Linked DNA regions of Astyanax mexicanus. The protein of the gene in region 1 interacts with the protein of each later gene in a pairwise test. Links are inferred from orthologs where the notes say so. Each region holds a gene or a part of one and is shown on either strand. Other genes may lie near its edges. The genes, in order: zbtb10 and mob3c.

Region 1 (9,805 bases):
CCTCACCCAGCCCGTCTCACAGATGCACGAACAATGTAGCAGTGTGCTTGACCCAAGGTGTGGGTGGAGAACACCAGGCTCTGGGCCTCCCAACAATGTGGAGAGCTCATCGATGGAGAATTCCAGAGTTCTTCCCCCCAATACACACAGGCCTACATTTCACAAGAGGCAGACAGGGGTTGGGTGGAGCTTCTGTCTCTTCTAAAGCCTCCCTAACAAGAGAAGCAAGGGATGGCAACTTTGAGGACAAAGGCTAGACTCAAGAGCGAAACAACCCAGATACCCCCTATTTGGTTAATTGAGTTACGACCACTGCTCCAACCAGACCTGGACAGGCAAAGATAGTCTGACCTATTGTCTCTGACACTAGGATGATCAGTATAACACACCAGCACAATTATAAAACTCACTTAAGGACTCACGAGCATGCTGAAGAGGTTCTCTTGTTTATTGTTTTTCTAAGAAAAGACATCCTAAACACCACCCTGCACTAATTTACCCCTTTTAAAACCATAGCATTAGCTTACCTTTCCTACGCCTGCCTGAACTGCTCACACTCCTAAAGGCTTTCCTAACTGGCCCAATGACAATTACAATGCAAAAGTAAATATTAAAGCAACTGCGGGTAGCTGTAAGATATCATGATAGATGTTTAAAACAAACACTCCTGCAGAGAAAAGGGAGTTGTGCCAGGGCTGATACTAATCTAAAACAGCGTCTTAACCCTTCTGTTGCTAGGGAGGAGCCCATAATCCCTCCTACTGCTTTCCTCCCTAATTAGTGAAGGGTATAAATTGAGTTAGAGGAACGCTTTAAGTCATCCTGATTAGTATGAACAACTGGCTGCACTCGCAAGGCTATCCTCAGGGATTTTATTAACAAACGAATCAAATTCAGTACGGACGGCCATATATTCAGAGATTCGAGTCGCATGTAGAATTTAAACACATTCCGATCCACCATTCAGAAAGCATGGACAACAGTTTGTCAAGCATTTATTGACAATTTCCTGCTACAGGGCTGAAGGCTCTTCTGAATAATGTGAATAATGGGGTCCAAACGAGGACATAGATTAAAGATTCATTATAAAGCGCTAGGCCTCACCACAGCTCCAAACATACTATCTGAAAATGATCACAGGCACACTATTGATCTCACTTCAATACTGGGTTGAGGAGGGGGGGCACGAGGTCATAGGGTCACATGCTAAATTTATTTATACTTGCCCTCATAGTGATCGGCCAGGTGCATGTCGCACAACGGGCATAGCAGTCACAGGACACTACTCGATTTAGGGGGATTTTGTGTGGACAAGCCGGGTGACGAATCAGCCCTGGATCTTTGAGATGGACCTAAAACAATGCCTTTGATTTAGGAGCCCTAAAGGGGAAGATGAGATGTGCCAGAGGTCACTTTTACAGCCAGGGAACAGAGGGGGGGTTGGGCTGGGCTGGGGCTCCCCAAAGCCTGCTGGTCGAGCTTCTGCCATCACCACGACCTCCCTGGTAATCAACTCAGGTTGCCAAGGCAACTAAGGTTGATAATTGCAGTGCAATGCATGCATGGAGTAAACTGGTCCAATACAAAGGAGGGGAAGTGCACACACCCTTAGCTCTAAACCCAGATTAAAGGGGTTACGCTCAAATGTGACACATAATTCAGTCGGGTGTCCTTTATAAAAAGACAGTTTTTTTTACAGGTTATCTTTAAACAAACCAAGACTATAAAGGATATGTTTATATTTAAGAACTATTCCATTATTTAAGCTGTCATAAGGTTAATATCAAAATGTACAAGACAGAGTGAAAAGTTAATTATAATTACACCTAGGGCTTTACAATATGGATGAAACTAATGTCACATTGACTCATTTTGGTTGATGCAATATCATCCTGATAACAATATGAAAAACTGCTAAGAAAGCCCACAAAAATGAATCTGTCTGTTCTTGTAATATACACTGTAACGTTAATGAATGTCACTCATTGAAATATGCTGTAAATAACGTAGTGAACACTGGAATATTAAAAATGTTTTTTTAATCATACAACCGTTACTTAAACATTTTATATCGTGATATATGAGGATACTGAATTATTGTCCAGCCCTAGTTACACTAACTTACAGTTTAAAACGTAAAGTAGCTAACTAGATATATAGTTAGGTAACTAGACATATAACCTAGCCAGGTTACACGGCTATCAAATATTTTCTAATATTATCGTAACGTTAGACACTAACCTAGCTAACCTACCTTTAAGATAGTTTATTAAAGAGTTTAGCTCACTCTCTGTAACCGTTTAATCCTCACACAGTTTTTAAAGAAGTCAGTAGCCAAATTCCCAGTAACGTATATGTGAACAGCGCTGAAAAGAGACGATTTGAAGACTGTATTCAACTGTCACTGATAAAAATCACAAAGCCAGCTAGCTGGTTTCTCAGGACTGGGAGTGAGCCAGGAAGCAAGCTAGCTAGCGGTTAGCTCGTGTGGTACAAACCCTAGGCTAGGTCAGCTAGCTAGCAACGTTACAATCAGCAGCGGTAGGCTAGTTAGCTTAGCATCTACCTAGCTGGCTAACCTTGCTAGCTAATGGTCTATAGCAGCTCATACTGGTCGAGGAAGACGACAATATTAAAAAGGTTGACCAAATATCCAATATAGCCAAATGTATTAAAGTTTTAATCATATTTTTACAGTATCCTGAGAACGTCCTGGGACCCTGCTAACGTTGACAAGCCCAAACTCAAAAGCTCCGTCCGTGTCGGGAGTAACTTTACCTGTTTGGTCGGGTCGTTCCTGCCGTGCTCCGAGGACAGGTGATGTCTCAGCAGCAAGGCCCGCTTGTAGTTTCGGCTGCCTTTCACCAGCTCGTCGCTGTTGTTAGTGGCAATGTTGTGACACCAAGAGCAAGACATGAGTCCCGACTCTCGATTAAATTTTAGCCAAGGAAACTCCTGCAGCCAGGAGGCTTGGAAAAGCGAGTGTTTCTGGAGCAGCGTCTGCGGTCTCATCTCTACCCAGGGCTTCCTGGCGCCCGCTTCTTCCCGGTCCCCGCCGCTCCCTGCTTCGCCTCGGTCTCGGTCGTCCTCGGAGCCGGTGGCAGCGCCGCTGCCCGCGCCGTCCTCGCTGTTAACGCCGTTGCCTGTCGTCCAGCTCTCGCCCTCCTCCCCCGCGACGTTCGCGTTAGCCGTCCAGCCGATGCTGTCAACGCCTTTACCGACTGTCCATCGACCCCCTTCCGGATCTTCCTCCTCCTCTGCCTCCGGCTCTGTGCTGTCGCTGACGGACCCCCCGCCCTCCACTTTCCCCGGCGACGGTCCTTTCGCTCCCAGATCCCTGTCCTCCTCCTGATCCGGCCTGTTCCCGTTTAAATGCCGATCTTGCCAGGCCTGGGCCTCCCAGCTGTTACCGTTGCTGCCTCGGACACCACTGGAGCCGGTCACGGCTGATCCACCTCCTCGGAAAGCCAGCGACCTGCGGTTTCGTTCTCCGGACATTTTTCCTCAATAAATTAGAACCTACTTTCCCAACGATCTTTATCAATATAATTTACTTTCAGCCCGGCGAAACACGATTACAAATAATCGTTGTTTAAAATGAAATATTCCGCATCGAAATGTTGTGTTTTTTCGCGCTTTGGCCTCCCGGGGAGAGTATGTAGGTTATGCGGAAATAAATAAGGGTTTTAAAGGCATAATGAATTTGAGGGTTTCTGGCTCCGTCCGCGCAGGCCCCGCAGAGGTCGAATGGCAACGACTTTCCCCACAATGCACCTCGCTTCGAGTGAGGGGGGTCGTGGGGCACTTAAAGGAGGATGGGTGGGGGGGTAACTAGAACAGCGAGGGGGGCATTTGTGTTCGCCGAGCGCACCCACAGCTCCCTCCCCGAGCACGCGTTTCATCTTTGGGAGTCGCTTGTCTTGAACTAATAAGTGTGTTGTCCGCCGGGGAGCGGCGTTACTGACTCACTGCGCCGTGTTTGTTTTTAACACAGAGGGAAGAAAAGCAAAGGACAGGTGAGGGGAGAAGCGAGCAGAGCGCAGGGCTTAGTGCACTGTGTTTATTCTTACAGGTAGTGACAGAGGGGACTTTTTGCTCCCTCCCCCTCCCCAAATAAATAAAAAAATAGTATATACTATATAAAAGTGACTTTTGAAAAAAGTGAATTATGAAAAAAGAACAATGCAACACGTACGCACAGCCTATGGATATGGATAAACAGGGGTATATATGTTTTAAAATACACGTCTTAATTAAATTTAAATGTAAAAAATATATAAAAAAATAAATAATTTGAAGTTATTTTGTCATAATACGTTTTATAGGCTGTTGTGGCAATTTGTATTTTACCTAGTCGTGTATGTAGAAATAAAAGTACGTATCTGTATAAATGAATAATTCCTGAATTAATTGTAAGCGCTAATAAATGTTTTTTGTGGAATTGAAACCGTCAGTTTAGTACTTGTTTAGTATGTCACCCAGCAGGTGTCGGGCTTTCCTCTATACAGCATCAGCTCGGTCACAGCTGCGGTTATTACAGAGCCACCGTGCCCACTGTAGGAGGGTACACACACTGATATATAGTTCCTAGTAAATCGAGTTTTTATTTAAATATCTAAAAACCATATATCCAACAAGTATGCTCTCTTAAACACTGTAACACATTATATATTAATATTAAAAACTGCACAGATTTTTGTTAAAACAGTATAAAAAGAGCAACGACATGCCATATTAATTTAAATTAATGGAATAAATGTATGCACACAATCACTCATTTATTGTTTTCTTCATTAATCAACTCATCCCCAACACTTCAAATCATCAAAAATGAGTGGAACAATGTGAAGTGCCAACTTAAAGTGTCTGGATGCACTTATTAGATTTTTTTTCAAACATTTGGAAATATTGCATATTTTATAACATATACAAATTGGTCTTTGCACGGGCCAAAATTAGAGTAAAAAAGGCAATGCCTGATCACCCAAGTTATGTAGTGATAATCAGAAATAGGCAACCTTCTTCTGTTGTTTAAATACACATTTGTGTTTATTATTTAGAATAACTATTTCTCTTGTCCCTCCTTGAACAATTTTAACACTTAAAATAATATTATTTTGAATCTTTTAAATGTGAGTGCAGCCACCCCCCTGGTCAGAGTTGTAAATTACTAATTAAGACAGGTTTGTACACTTGGCTTGTCACTCTATTACTGTACTTGTAAGCAGATGTTTAAGTGTCAGGTTGATGAAAGAACATGTAAGAGAGCTTGAATGATTGGGGCATTTCAGTGTTTTGCCTAAAGCCCCAAAAGTGACTATATCCACCCAGATCGACAGACAGATAGATTAGAAGACTCCTGAGGTCTGATGAAAGCAGCTTCCTCGACGATACGACGAACATAATTTTTCGAGCCTGAAGGTGAAAATAAAGAGTTTAAGCCTTTGTAACAAGATTATTTTCGTGCCGTAGCGCCACCTATCGACTCAAGTGCACTAAAATATATATGTGGGCTCACCACACCCTTTAAGAACACAGAGTTTAGACAGCTCTCTTTCGTTCTCTCGCTGTTTATCTCTGTTGCCCACTCTTGTCCTCTAACCGTTTTTGGGGTGTGGCAGCGGGAATTACCATTAATTTACCATTAAATACCAGAAACTTTTTAAAACCTTTTCTGAAAACGTGCAAATTAAAATGCAGATTAGTTAAACACTGCTGATAGCCCAAGTGACTTCTGCGTGCCTAAAAACAGTGCAATCAAGAAAATTTGAGATTCTACCTCCTGTCATTTTTTGCATCGTGTTTTCTCACAGAGCCCCCTGTGCACTCTTTAGAAGATTTTTTTCCCTCGGAATCAAGGGGTTGGATTTCATGATATGGAGTTTCAAAATGTGACGATAGATTTCCTGTAAGTTCGTGTGGCAAAAGTTCACGTTCATTAAAAACATTAATTGTTGCAATGCAAGCAGACAATAAACGTTTACTAATTATTATTATTATTATTATTATTATTATTATTATTATTATTATTGTTGTTGTTGTTAACCAAATTATTAATGTTTCTCATTTACTAGTTTGTTTTCCTTATTCAAAAAATGTCCATTGAACCGAAATTAATATTGCATTGTTCTCTATAGAGTAATGATCATTATAACCTGTAAATGTATGTGTGCATATTATTATTATTATTATTATTATTATTATTATTATTATTATTATTATTATTATTATTATTATTATTATTATTATTATTTGCACGCCGCACTGAGGTGTGTGTGACCACGTGCCCGTTTCTTTTTGTTTACATGCGTGCGTGCTCTGCGTGATGACGCCACGCGCGGCCCCACCTCAGCAGTTTGCAGCGCGTGAAGCTCCAAACTCCTCGCCTGGAGAAGAGAATCAGCGAAGAGGAGAAACCGGCTCCAACAGCAGCGCTTCACAGCAGCATGGAGGAATCAGAGCAGGGTAAGTTACAGAAAGTTGACTTGTGAAGATATTAATGCGCAGTTTATCCCGGGAGACACTGTTAAAACAGCTGTTATCTCCTGTTTCTGTCTGTCTGAAGTTAGCTGAGGTGGGCTAGCTAGGTCAGGTCGTAGCCATAACTGGCTAATGGACCCCTGTTGCTAAGTTTTCTGCTGGAGACTATAAAGAAAACATTATAGAAAGTGCATTTCTTCAGGACCTGTGAAATGTTCCTAGAAATGTGCCATGTTTTGTTAAAGTACGGAGCAATAACAAAGAAGGAAGTTTCAAAACTCTTTTTGTCTGTTTGACAAGATTTTTTAGATACTTCAGAGCAAATAACGCTTATCTTTTGCTGGATAGAGTTAGCATCACAGCTTAAAATACTTATTTTTTAAAAGATATGAAACGAATTGTTCACTTTTTGTTTAATAGTTTAATCATGTTTAATCAATTCACTGCAGCCTGCAACCATATGTTACGTCCGTTCTATTATTTCATAAGGGTCCTTTGGTAGCTAGCTTAGTTATTTTCTTTTATGAATTGACAAATTTGGCATATCATTCACGAAGTAATTAGTTTAACTAATGTCTGTTTTTTTAGCTTCATAACTGTTGTGCCTTATTTAGAAACGGTGCATTTAACTGGAACTACCACTGCAGATGTTCTAACATACATACAGTATGTGATCATAAAACTGTCATATGGTGTGTGTGTGTGTGTGTTTGTGTGTGTTTGTGTTTGTGTGTGTTTGTGTTTGTGTGTGTGTGTGTGTGTGTGTGTGTGTGTGTGTAACTGATGCTGTCTGAATTTTGTGTTAATCACTGAAGTATCTGAAAATCCAGTTTTGCAATAACAGGAGCTCAGACTGAGATTATCTCAAGGGATGGTTTGAATTGCCTCTTATGGGGTTTTCTTGTGTTAAAAGTCTCAGATTACATTACAGGCACCGATTCTGTTGCCACTAAGTGGTACAAATGTAACTTGGTTTGGGTTTGTGTAATCTGTATTTAATGATTAATATTTCTGATTTATTTCATAATTGATAATGTAAGGCAGTCATGGGCTGTCTAGAAGAGTAAGGACTTTTAGTAAGCCATTTAGATTAAAGATAATTTGCTTTTATTTTTGCATTTCCTGGGACCTTTCTCTCCTGCTGCTACTTTTATTATAAAATTGATCACATTCATTGCTGAATAATTGAATTTATGTCTGGTAAATGAAGTGCTGTGGCCTTCTGCTTTTGTGCCCTTTTGTTTATCCCTTTGAATACAGATTGTGTTTCCTGTTGAAAGTTGCATATTTCTGATGCTCTCTTATAGACAGAAATTCTGTTTCATATGATTGCAGTATCTCTGAATTTGTGGTTACAATATCCTTAACTGGGTGTCAGATTTAGGGAGAGCAATATAAAATAACAATAATAAGTATTTATACCACAAAAGATATTAATACTTAAATAACTCAGATTAACTGTCTGTTTAATTTAATAGTGTAATTAGTGTGGGAGGACATATTGATATTTTATGGGGGGGGGGGGGGGGTTGTAACAAAATTACAACCCTTAACCAACAGGCCCCACCTGAGGCCTACATGTAAGCCTAGCAGTGCATTTAGTCTGTTCACTAACTCAATATGTAGAACACAATCCAACTGTAGCCTGTATTGTTTTGAGGAACAGGTGGATGTTTCCTGTCTTGTTTGTTAGGCTGGATGATAAATGATCTTTCCTGGTGTGCTGATAATGCTGTCCTAAAGTGTTGCTTATGATAAATTATGAAATATGAAACTGTTTTATGGAGATAATTGTATTTTCAGCAGTTAGAATCATTACGTCACAGCAAGCATCATACTTGGTTCTCTTTTCACCTTTTTTCTGTCCCACTCTACTCTTCGCTCCTCAGGAGGCAGCTTATCATCATTCCTGTTAGGTGGCGGAGGTCCGGTGAGCAGCCAAAGCCCTCCTGTGAGGCTCTCATGCAGGGAAGCCATCTGTCCATTCCTTGTCTTTTTGCATACTCACATCTCCCTGCAGCTTCTGCCACAGGACCACAGAGTTATTTTTAGAGCAGACTGCAGGATGGAGGCTGAGACACCTATTAGTTGTCTGCTGTATAGGAGGTATTTAGGTATACATGTCACCATTGAGACATTTGCTCTAAAGGGAAGCTTGTGTTCATGGCTTGAACTGTTTGTAGAAAATAGCATATCCTATTATTGACTGTTATATCTATATCCTGCTGGTAATGCACAATATTTTTTGTCATAATGTTAAATATATAGAATATCTTTATATTTACTGTAAACTGTGCACTCAGGGTGCACAAGTTCATTAATGCAAGCACATTGCTGATATAGATGTGCAAATGATTCATGCACACAGCTTGTCTAGTCCCTGTAGGGAAATACTGCCATTACAATAGTACTCCTTGGAACATGTAAGCCCAAACAGATATGGCACCTTGTTTTGGGCTTGAGGGGTATAAAGCTCACCAGCATTGACCTGAGGAGCAGTGGATTGGTGTTTAATACCCCCTTATTAATAAACCATGAATAAGCATGTGTCCCGTTACTTTTGTCCATGTACTGTAGATACAGGACTGTTATATGGAATTGTCTGGGGCCAGAATGGGACAGTTGTTAATGCCAGTAATATTATGAGGCCACAAACATGTTCACAGGTGTTTAGTATTGTTTTTTTAAGTATGTTTAAGGCAAAGCAAAACACCCCTCTCTGTGTGTTTTGACCCCTCATTCATTACCAGCTCCATCACCTAAAATGTTCCAGTCCATCCCAATACTTTCCAGACTGCTCCATAGTCGTTAAACTTCATATAAGCTGTACCTGGGGCTCTTCCTGGACTTGCATGTGTGTCATGCATTGTTTCTTTCTGTTTTTCTACAGCAGCAGATGCAATGTTTCAGTGTATGCAATGCAGTGTGTAATAGGTGGCTAAAATTTTAAATCATACCAGAATAAAGGTAATACCATATTATTTATTTTCAATAAATACCTTTTGCTAAATCAGAACTACAGGTAAAATATCCTTTTTTCAGGCTAATCGCAAGCATCAGTTTTAATTTTCTGAGGAAATTAAAATCTGTTCACTGCACACTATTTGGGGACACTGTACCCGTATCTATAGTTTGTAAATTTGCGCTGTACATTACTCGTCATGGGAGCGACAGGTCAACCATAAAAGTTTGCTTTGGTACTCTAGCCGGCGACATTTTAATGTTAACTAGCTATCATTTAGAACAAACCATTCCAGAGTTTGGGACAGAACTGAGCCCATATCCTCTTGGGGAAAAATACCACCCAAACAGGAATGATAATATC
Region 2 (9,428 bases), on another chromosome or scaffold:
GATTACATCCAAGCCATTAGTGGCGCTATTACACTCCTGAATACATAAAACCTATATGGATGTATAAAAGACTTTTTAAATTTTAATTGACCAGTGGTAGGATGGTCCCCCCTCAAATGTGAGTCTTGGTCCTCCCAAGGTTTCTTCCTCCTCCTGCAGCTCTGAGGGAGTTTTTCCTTGCCTCTGCGCTCACTGGGGGTTCTGTATTCTGTATTTTCTATGTTTAATGTTTTGCCTGATTCTTTGTCCTGTAATCATGTTTCTGTAAAGCTGCTTTGTGCCAACACCTGTTGTAAAAAGCGCTATACAAATAAATTTGGTTTGATTTGATATACTGATTTGTTTATACTCTTATTTTTGGTACCATTTTCTCTCTGTTTTTCACCACTTGCTTTGTTTTTGTGGGTCTGGCTGGATGAGATAACAGTCCTTTACTACACTGCTCACCATTCAATTCACAACCCTATTTTCCCCACATATCATTTTCTGTACTTCTGAAACTTTGCATGCATATTAGTATAACCAGGTCATATTGCTCTGCTGACCTGGAGTTAGCCCTTTCATTTTATAGAAGATAAAGCATTCAGCCCTTTCATTTAGCAGAAGATAAAGACGTAAATGCCACTGACCGCTGACTACCAGTGAAATTACCCTCTATCTGGACATCTGTGGGAAACTCATTTAAAATGACTGGAATTGAAACTTTTTTGTTTTCTGGGTCCTTGCCACGTCTCTTTTTCTAATGTGTTTTTCTCATTTGTTAGGTTTAGTCCAAAAAAGACCAGTCACCATGACCTAAAAAACACACATTCTGGTTCCCTAAAAGAACTTTCCGATAGAAAGTGGCAAAATACTTTCTTATTCACTGGTTTTCAATGGACATATTTTAGCTTTTACATTGTTGATTAATCTTGAAATCATCAAATAAAGAGACATATATGGAACAATGTAGTAAATAATCAAGTGTTTCACAAAGCCAAGAAAGGGTTTCATGCATTAGATTGTTCTAAGCCACATTTTGCTTTTATGACAAATTTGCAAACTCAAGCTTAGTGAAGTAATCAGATTGTGAGGTTGTCTTAGAATTGTCTCGGTTTTCCTTCACCCTGTGGTCCAAACCACCTCAGTTGGGTTTGTTTTTTTGTCTTTTTTTCCACAGAATAAAGATTCTCTAACAGTGGCATAATCTCACATTTATGTGTGATCTAGAAAAAAATAATTTCAATGTTACTGTAAATGATATGAGGCACCTATAAACAGACACCAATCAACATCCCATTCCATCATGTTCATGTCATGCACCACCTCACTCCACCCACCTTCCAGCTCCAGTTTCATTTCTAGATTATGCAATACTGGATTTACTTATCATTTTTTATTAAATTACTATGATCCATAACAGGTATAGAACAGCCAACAATGTAATGTATATATTTATATTTTATGAAAAATACATTTTGTCACATTGTGCTCGTAGCATTGAAATATGGAATAATAATGTAAATATCAGAAATACTATCTAACAGTGGGCCACAATAAACCATATGGTCCCTGTCCAATAAAAAAAACACACATCTCCAAAACAGCAACTTTACAGGAGAAAAAAAAACTTAAATTTCAATGGAATTCAATGTAAAAAGAATTAATTTTAGGTAATTTTGAATAATTTTTATTGGTCCATTCATCCAAAAAGTTTTACAGTGTAAGGGACAGTTTGATAGTTCACATTATGTAGTAAATTAAAACTTCACAAAAACGGAAATACTTAGTTTTCATTAGACAGAAAATATACATTATATTACATTAACATTTTCATAACATTTTTTTACTGTAAATGCTATAAATGTTTTTTTATAGACATTTATTTAAAATTAATGTTTGTTTGTTTTTTACAGTGCAATCCTGGCAACCACAGCTGCCAATCTTTTACTGAAAATTGTATGGATTTCTTTTTTAATCTGGAATTAAAAAAAAGAAAAAGAAAATAAAGAAAATTCAAGAAGGTGTGTTCAAACTTGGTGCTGATTACTACTGTTTCTAAGCCAATGCATATTTTCCATTATCAAAGCCAGTCCTTCAAACCTCCTCTAAATACCCGGAACACTGGTCTCACTCTTGTTTGTTTGAATTAAACTAAAGAGACCAACTCGGGCAGGGCAAGAAGAAGTTTAGAAACAGTTTAGAAAGCCCTCAAGCAGTGTAGTGAAGAACACTGCATGTCACCATGAAGGACACTATTGTGTTACTGTAACAAGACCGTTATGCTTCAGTCATAAAGCTCGGGAATAGGAATGAGAAAGTCTTCTATGCATGAGAGCATTCATTCATTCTCTGCAATGTATCGCTTCATATACAACAGAACAATAATTAAGACAAAAAGAAACATTAAGCAGACTGTATGTCCACAATAGTATCTTTATAGGAGAAGGCAAAACCTTTTTTTAATAGAAGTCAATGTAATCTCATTCAAATGTATTTTAAATGGATATACAGTATATTGACAACAACAGTTTTTTTTTAGAATATATTACATTGAAATGCTACAGTCTACCACGACTTCTGGGACTTTTTGAGCATTGAATGTGAATGGGAGTCATTCTGTATGCATGGACAATTCTAGCCAGATGCCGCCCATCACAATTATTACGACCCACTGTACTGTCCACTGTAGGTGGTAATATCTACCAGTAATACACATTCACTTGCCACTTAAATCTGCCTCACAAGGCAACACCTCACATCTTAAATTGATATCCCATGACTTTTGGCATGCCAGTGTATACATACATCCTGCAAAAAGGGTGTTTTTAAGGGTTCTTGAGTACAATTAGCAGTTCTCTGGGGAACCATAACAACACAAAATGCTTGGTTAAACCGATTGAACCTACGGTTGTAGATGGTTCTTTCACATGGAAAAATTATTTTATATAGCAACAAAATCAGTTCAATGGTTAGTAATAGTGACAATATATCCTTAATTTTAATGTACAGAACATACAGCATATAAAAATGTTATTCTGTATAAAATATACTTTTCTTTAGGGGGGGGGGGGGATCTTTAATGGATCTTTCATAAATACAATTGTTTTATATAGAAACTGAAATAACTATTTGAATGCTTAAATGGTTCTTAATAGTGGAAACCCTTTTGTAGTTTGTTCTCTTGATTAACATCTATTCTTTTTTTTGTTTTTGTTTTTTTGAGGTTGGTGGATCATATAATTTATTGGCACAATCTCAAGTATTCATGACCACACATTCAGGCTAGTTTTAAATTCTGTGAATAGATAGATATTAAAATAGATACTTTATTGATCCCAGACGGAAATTCTGAAGAAGAGGGAAATTGTGGATTAAAACATTAATTCTAGAGAAGAACAAGATAAAGCTAAAGCATTTATAAAGGTTCCAACATCAAACCATCTAAGGGAACTTTCATTCAAAGAGAAGCAGAGCAACAGAGAGAGAGAAAATTCCACCCAGCAGTACCTGGCCGAAGTCCCGTTTTGAATGCCTGGAATGCTGTGGGGATCTGTGGGAACGCTCAGGAGAATTTCACTGCCTCCACTTATCTCCCAGAGGACGTGGATCACGCTGGATTTCTCCTCTGAACAAACTCTGAGTCCTCTGCCACTCATCAGCAAACCCGAACGCTCAAAAAGTGCTGGAGAAAAAGCAAAACTGATCCACAAACCAAAAGAAAAGTTGTTTGGCTTCTCTTCCTGTGGTGATGTCACATCCTGATTTTGTCTGCTAGGCCCCACTGTCTCTGTCTATATGAGAGTGACTGTGTGTGTATGTGTGTGTGTGTGTGAGAGAGAGAGAGAGTGTGTGTACTAAGAGGCAAGCTAAAAGGGGATATTTCGTTGGCTGTGGGAGGGGCAGAGGCCTTTGAGGCACAGCCCTTATTTTCTTCCCTCCTCTTTCATCCCTCTCTCCTGCCCACAACCACTACCCATTCATTCTATACACGTGGACTGTATGGAGTCAATAAGCTATAATAACCCACAATAAAAATGCAGGCAGGACAATTAGACATTCTAGTCGTTGACCATATGCAGCATATTATCTTTGTCATAAACAATCTTATCAGAATATATGTCATAAACATAGACACATTAGGAACAACTATAAAGAGCTTGTACACGACATTAACCATATATTATCTTGCAAAATAATCCAACTTCCTTAAATGTAAGACTGAAGTATGCTGCTGGCTTAGGTACTTTGTTGGAAACCCCTTTTGCTGCAATAATAGCTTAAAGTATGTAAATAAAAAAATACATTTCTGATGGCTTAGCAGAATAAGGACGATTTTCACCTGTTTTTTACTAGTACACATGCTCCAGGTTGTTCTGATTGGTTGGGGTCCATACTGGTTAAATACTACCCCTGACTCTTAGTTAGGTTGATATCTCAAATTTGATATTATACCACAGTTAGTTCTGACCCAGTAATGTAATTGGCCGAGGGGCTTTTATGAGTGACATTATTAGCCGGTAATGCACTGTAACCAAAGCTCTCCATGTACTACATGGAGAGTAACCTACACACATACAGGTAACCTAGCAACGATTCTGATTCCTTTGACTTTGCACCATCTTTACAATATATCCCCACAAAATTATGCTGCCACCACACTTCCCTTTTAGATGTTGAGTGTTAATAAATGGGCAGTAAATGTTGGCCAGAAGTCATTAAACCTCCTAATTTTTAATAAGAGGTGGGTTGTGGGTTAGTGAGTTGCTCTAAAACTGTAGGACAAACTCCAGATGCAGATCTGATGTGTTATTTCTTTAGTAATGGCTTTATTTTAGCTCCCAAACAATACTCTATACATACTAGTGCACCTTCACGCCAGTCTCATTCATAATAAATGTATTGCAAATGGAAATTCTCTTAAAACTCAAATAAAAATCTAATATTTTTTTCAAATAAAATTTTAGTCTTTGCTCATATCTAATAGTTTCATTTTTGAAGGATCCAAGGATTTTTTTTTTGTCATTTCACATCACGTGTGGAACATGAGGTGAAACGAAATTGTATTTCCACGGTCCAATTTACACTCAAAGAGTAATTATTCAAATAGATAAATATAAAGACAAAATAATATAGAATAAAAATATGGACCCAAGCAAATGGGGTAGGCAACAGTGTGTAGTGTATAGGTCAGCAAAGGCAAAATATATTTTATATCGGTAAATACATTGCCATTGAATAAAATGACAGCAGTTATTAATAGTGTGTGTTTTCTAGACTTTTTATAGGCAGTGTCTGTTGCTATATGCTGTCCCAAGAACAATTTTCATTTTGTGAAAACACTGAAAACCTTTCATACATAAACTTCACACCATTTAAAAACTTATCTAAACGAGTTCTCAAAATGGACAAACCAACAAATAACCAACAGAGGGGAACATTTCATCTTTTTTTTTTTTTATGTAACAGTTGAATTAAGCAGACATATGGAAAATTCTGTGGAATTCCATTTAAAGTTTGGGCTTGCAACTTGGATAGAAGTGTACAACTAAGTTTCACACGATACACTGTGTGAAAGTGAAGTAAGTAAAACTACATTTTACATAGTACGCCAGTCCTGTATTATAACTGTATGGAAAGTATGTGGATAAATTGGAGGCAAGCTCGACTTGCATAAGAAAACACAAAACTGAACATTCCAGCTCACGCTCCACAACTGTTTACCATCCGTGAAAGATGTTGGACTTGTTTTGTTGTGGTTGTGTGCATATTTCTATTTAATGAATTATGAAGAGTGTATTACTGCAATTTACAGACTGTGGACATCAAGTCAATTCTGTTTATCCTGCAGCACCAGTTCTACTTAGCAAAAACAGCCCACCACACAATTCACATTCCAGACCAAAAGAAAGGATTTTGATACACTGATTGCAGTGTAGAAGAATCACTTTTGGTGCCCCAAAGCCCCAAAAAACTTGCCAATAGATTGTTGGTTAATAAACTAAAATTAAATAAACTGTAAAGATATCTATATAGACCCAATGCTTCTTCACATGTCTAACAATTTTCGAACCCATATGTTTATAACTGTAAAAAGTCCATGAGGAGTTTAATCAACAAGTTACACAACTGTAAAAAGTCTTAATAAATATTTAAGAAAATTTCTTTGCTGTTGCACTTCTATAGCAAATAAATCCAATTAATATATATATTTTTTTAGAATAAGGCAACTTTTAACTTTGAAGTGTGTAATAATTTATTATGTTCTGGGAATAAACTTTAGTTTCTGTATCAGTTTCTTTGATTTTGCTATTTATAGGTATATGTTTGAGTAAAATAAACATTGTTGTTTTATTCTATGAACTACGGACAACATTTCTCCCAAATTCCAAATAAAAATATTGTCATTTAGAGGATTTATTTGCACAAAATAGGTACTTTCAGACCTAAAATAATGCAAAGAAAACTAGTTTATAATAAAGTTTTAAGAGCTCAGAAATCAATATTTGGTGGAATAACACTGGTTTTTAATCACAGTTTTTATGCATCTTGTCATGTTCTCCTCCAACAGTCTTACACTGGATAACTTTATGCCTTTACTCCTGGTGCAACAATTCAAGCAGTTTAGCTTGGTTTGATGGCTTGTGATACATCTTCTTCTTGATTATACTCCAGAGATTTTCATTTTGGCAAAATCAAAGAAACTCTTTGAAACAAATACAAAAGTGAACAGAAACGGAAAAACACTTTTGGCTGTTGTAGTTTAATTCATATAGAATTTCTAATTTTATGGTATTAACTGCCTATTTGCTGGCTTTAAATTATAAGATGAATATTATACAGCAGCATTGAATAAAACAAATAAAACTGCTGTGCTGTTTATAATATTTCTATGAACACAGCATTTATGCAGTGTCTTTTATGCACACATTTAATGCACTGTTATTAAAAAAAAATAAAAATTGTTACATTTTTTTAACATAATCTAAATCTTAAAACTGTTTGTGGTACATGGGTATGTCAATGGATCAAAATAAATAGTAAAGAATTACCTGGATTAAATCTTTTTCCACTGATTTCTATTAAAAGTTGATTTTTTTCCCCTTTACCTTGTAAAATTGCCATTTTGGAGAAACAGGATATTTATATGACATTGATTAAATTTAAGTTAGCATTGAAAAAATTAACAGAAGTTTATATGGTAAGTAAAAAACTGCAGGCTTTAGGCGGTGTGTTTAGAGACATCTGCAAATTCCACACCTTCTAAAAAAAGATCATCTAACTCGGCTCTCAAAATGACTGTGTGTTTGCTGTCAAGAGGCCAAACCAACAGAGGGGGACATTTCATCTCCAAACCGAAAGCAGATTGCAATCAGTGGGACTGGCTTTTAATCTAGTTCATATTGTACTGTCTTTGTTGTCCTTTTATAAGAATTTAGGTTTACAATGGAGAGTGAACACAGAGGGAAACAGAGGAAAGGTTTGAGGATAAGAAAGTACAAAAATATATAAGAAAGAAAGAAAACAGAAATGTGTGAAGAAAGTCAAAGAAAACAACAGTGTAGAAAGAAACAGTGTAGATAAGTGACTTTTTTACAGTCTGTTACACACTGTTGCCTAGTTTTACAGTCAGATTAATTTTAGTCAGATTAGTTTTGTTCTGAGCAGTTAGCTCTGATATGACTGTTTCATTTTCTCGCAACACAGGAAGTAAAACTGGCCAAACCTTCAACACCCCCACTACACTCTTCACACCAGTAACCTTTCCTGTAGCCGTGTTTGATCCCTGACCTACTGAGCAGAAAAAGAGAAGAGTTTAACACATGACCACACCACAGAACATACAGCTTTAACAGCAAGAACTTACAGCGAGTGAAAATGAAACCTCGCTCTCAAGAACAGAACTCCAAAATGAACTTAATCATCTGTGTTAGCATAATAATAACCACTATTTCCACTATTTTGTGGTTAGTTAAATGGTATCTGAGTATTATCACTTTTACTAAAATGTTCTGAGACTGTACGTAAATACAACAAATAGCAAGTCATACAAAAACCCATGACCCTGTGATTCATAAGCAATAGAACACAATCAGGGATTGGCTTCAGGTGGATGACTGACAGCTTTAAAATCATAAGTAAGGATGAGCTTGACAATTTCTAGATGCTTTGGCTTTGGATCAAGAAACATGAAAAAAAAAAACCTAGAGCCAACATGGGACCTGTGTGAATGTAAAAAAGGATTATTTTTAACTGACAGGGGGCAGCACGTACAGTATAGTGTGGAGCTTTATAATGATGAGTTACATTAATTACAATTATAAATAACCCATAGAATACAATGTTATTCGAAAATAAAACTATACCTATTGAGCAAAGACACGTCCAAATAATGGCATTTTAATGTCAACGTTGAACGTTTAAAAGAGGGCCACAGATAATGAAGAATCAAATGTCCAAATTCAATTTTAAAAAGACAGTTTTTTAAGTCTATAATGAATTTTCAAAATATTCTTTTAAACATTCAGTCAGAGTTGCCAGGTCCAGCAATAATCTTGCCCAAGGTCTGTCAAAACCGCTCCCATCAGAAGTTTAAACAAGCTCGATATCTAAGGTTGCCACAGACTTTCACAACACAGTACATTTTCATTTTGAACGTTGTGCAATGAAGGCTTTTTTTCAGCTGTGATGAATATAAAAGTAGGCCCAAAACCAAAACATCCTGTGAATTTAAATTTTTTACACTTTATATTTTTTACAATTTGGTCGTGACATGCTTTGTACTTTTATACAGTGATGTCGACCATCAAAATGTCCGGCAAAATCTGTTTAAGGCCCGAAAATTTAGTTGTCCAGGTTTAGTAAAACATGCATTGGATTGGGAGCCTCACCAATAAAAAAACACAAATGGAGGGCATGACAAAATAAATTGTGACTAATTGTAACTACATGACTAATCGATCAACAGTCCAGTCGTCTACTAAAATAATCATTAGTTGCAGAAAGGCCTAACAGTGTGGGAGCAATGCTGGATGAGGTCTAGTGGCCTGCAAATAAGGCCAAATCCCATTTCTCTTTCATTTCCCTACCCGTTGTTTTCGAGTGTAACCCTTCTTTGTGGAACAGAGATAAAGTGTAAGGGAGGTAATCTCTCATTTTTAACAAGGAAAATACTCAAATTTGTTGGTTGCTTGTGCTGAAATCTTGCTAGTGATTCTCAAAGGCCCAATCCTATTTCACCCCTTGGCCCTACCACCTACCCCTATCACATTTTTTCGAGTGTAACCCTTCTGTTCCAAGGGGAAGGGGTGAAATCCTCCCCCTAAGAATTGTGACAACCCTTCAAGCACCCAATAAGTCATCAGGAACACTAAAGTTCAGTAACCTAACTGCTGATTAACTAGTTAACTTAAGGGCATTGTAGGTCTTTAGAAAGGGGGGAAGTGGTG

What was found.
Region 2: the proteins of zbtb10 (region 1) and mob3c interact in binary tests that used the Homo sapiens proteins (3 or more experiments, as listed by UniProt). The link is inferred for Astyanax mexicanus from reciprocal best matches to the Homo sapiens genes ZBTB10 and MOB3C.

What each region holds. Positions count from the first base shown.
Region 1 is NC_064410.1:44,215,209-44,225,013, reverse strand, and holds the start of zbtb10 (zinc finger and BTB domain-containing protein 10), read right to left. Parts: upstream 3,875-9,805; 5' UTR 3,499-3,874; coding exon 2,779-3,498; intron 1-2,778. Other genes in the region: tpd52 (tumor protein D52), read left to right, coding at 5,877-5,908, 6,353-6,465. UniProt on the Homo sapiens protein: May be involved in transcriptional regulation.
Region 2 is NC_064423.1:17,537,791-17,547,218, reverse strand, and holds the start of mob3c (MOB kinase activator 3C), read right to left. Parts: upstream 3,854-9,428; 5' UTR 3,490-3,853; intron 1-3,489. UniProt on the Homo sapiens protein: May regulate the activity of kinases.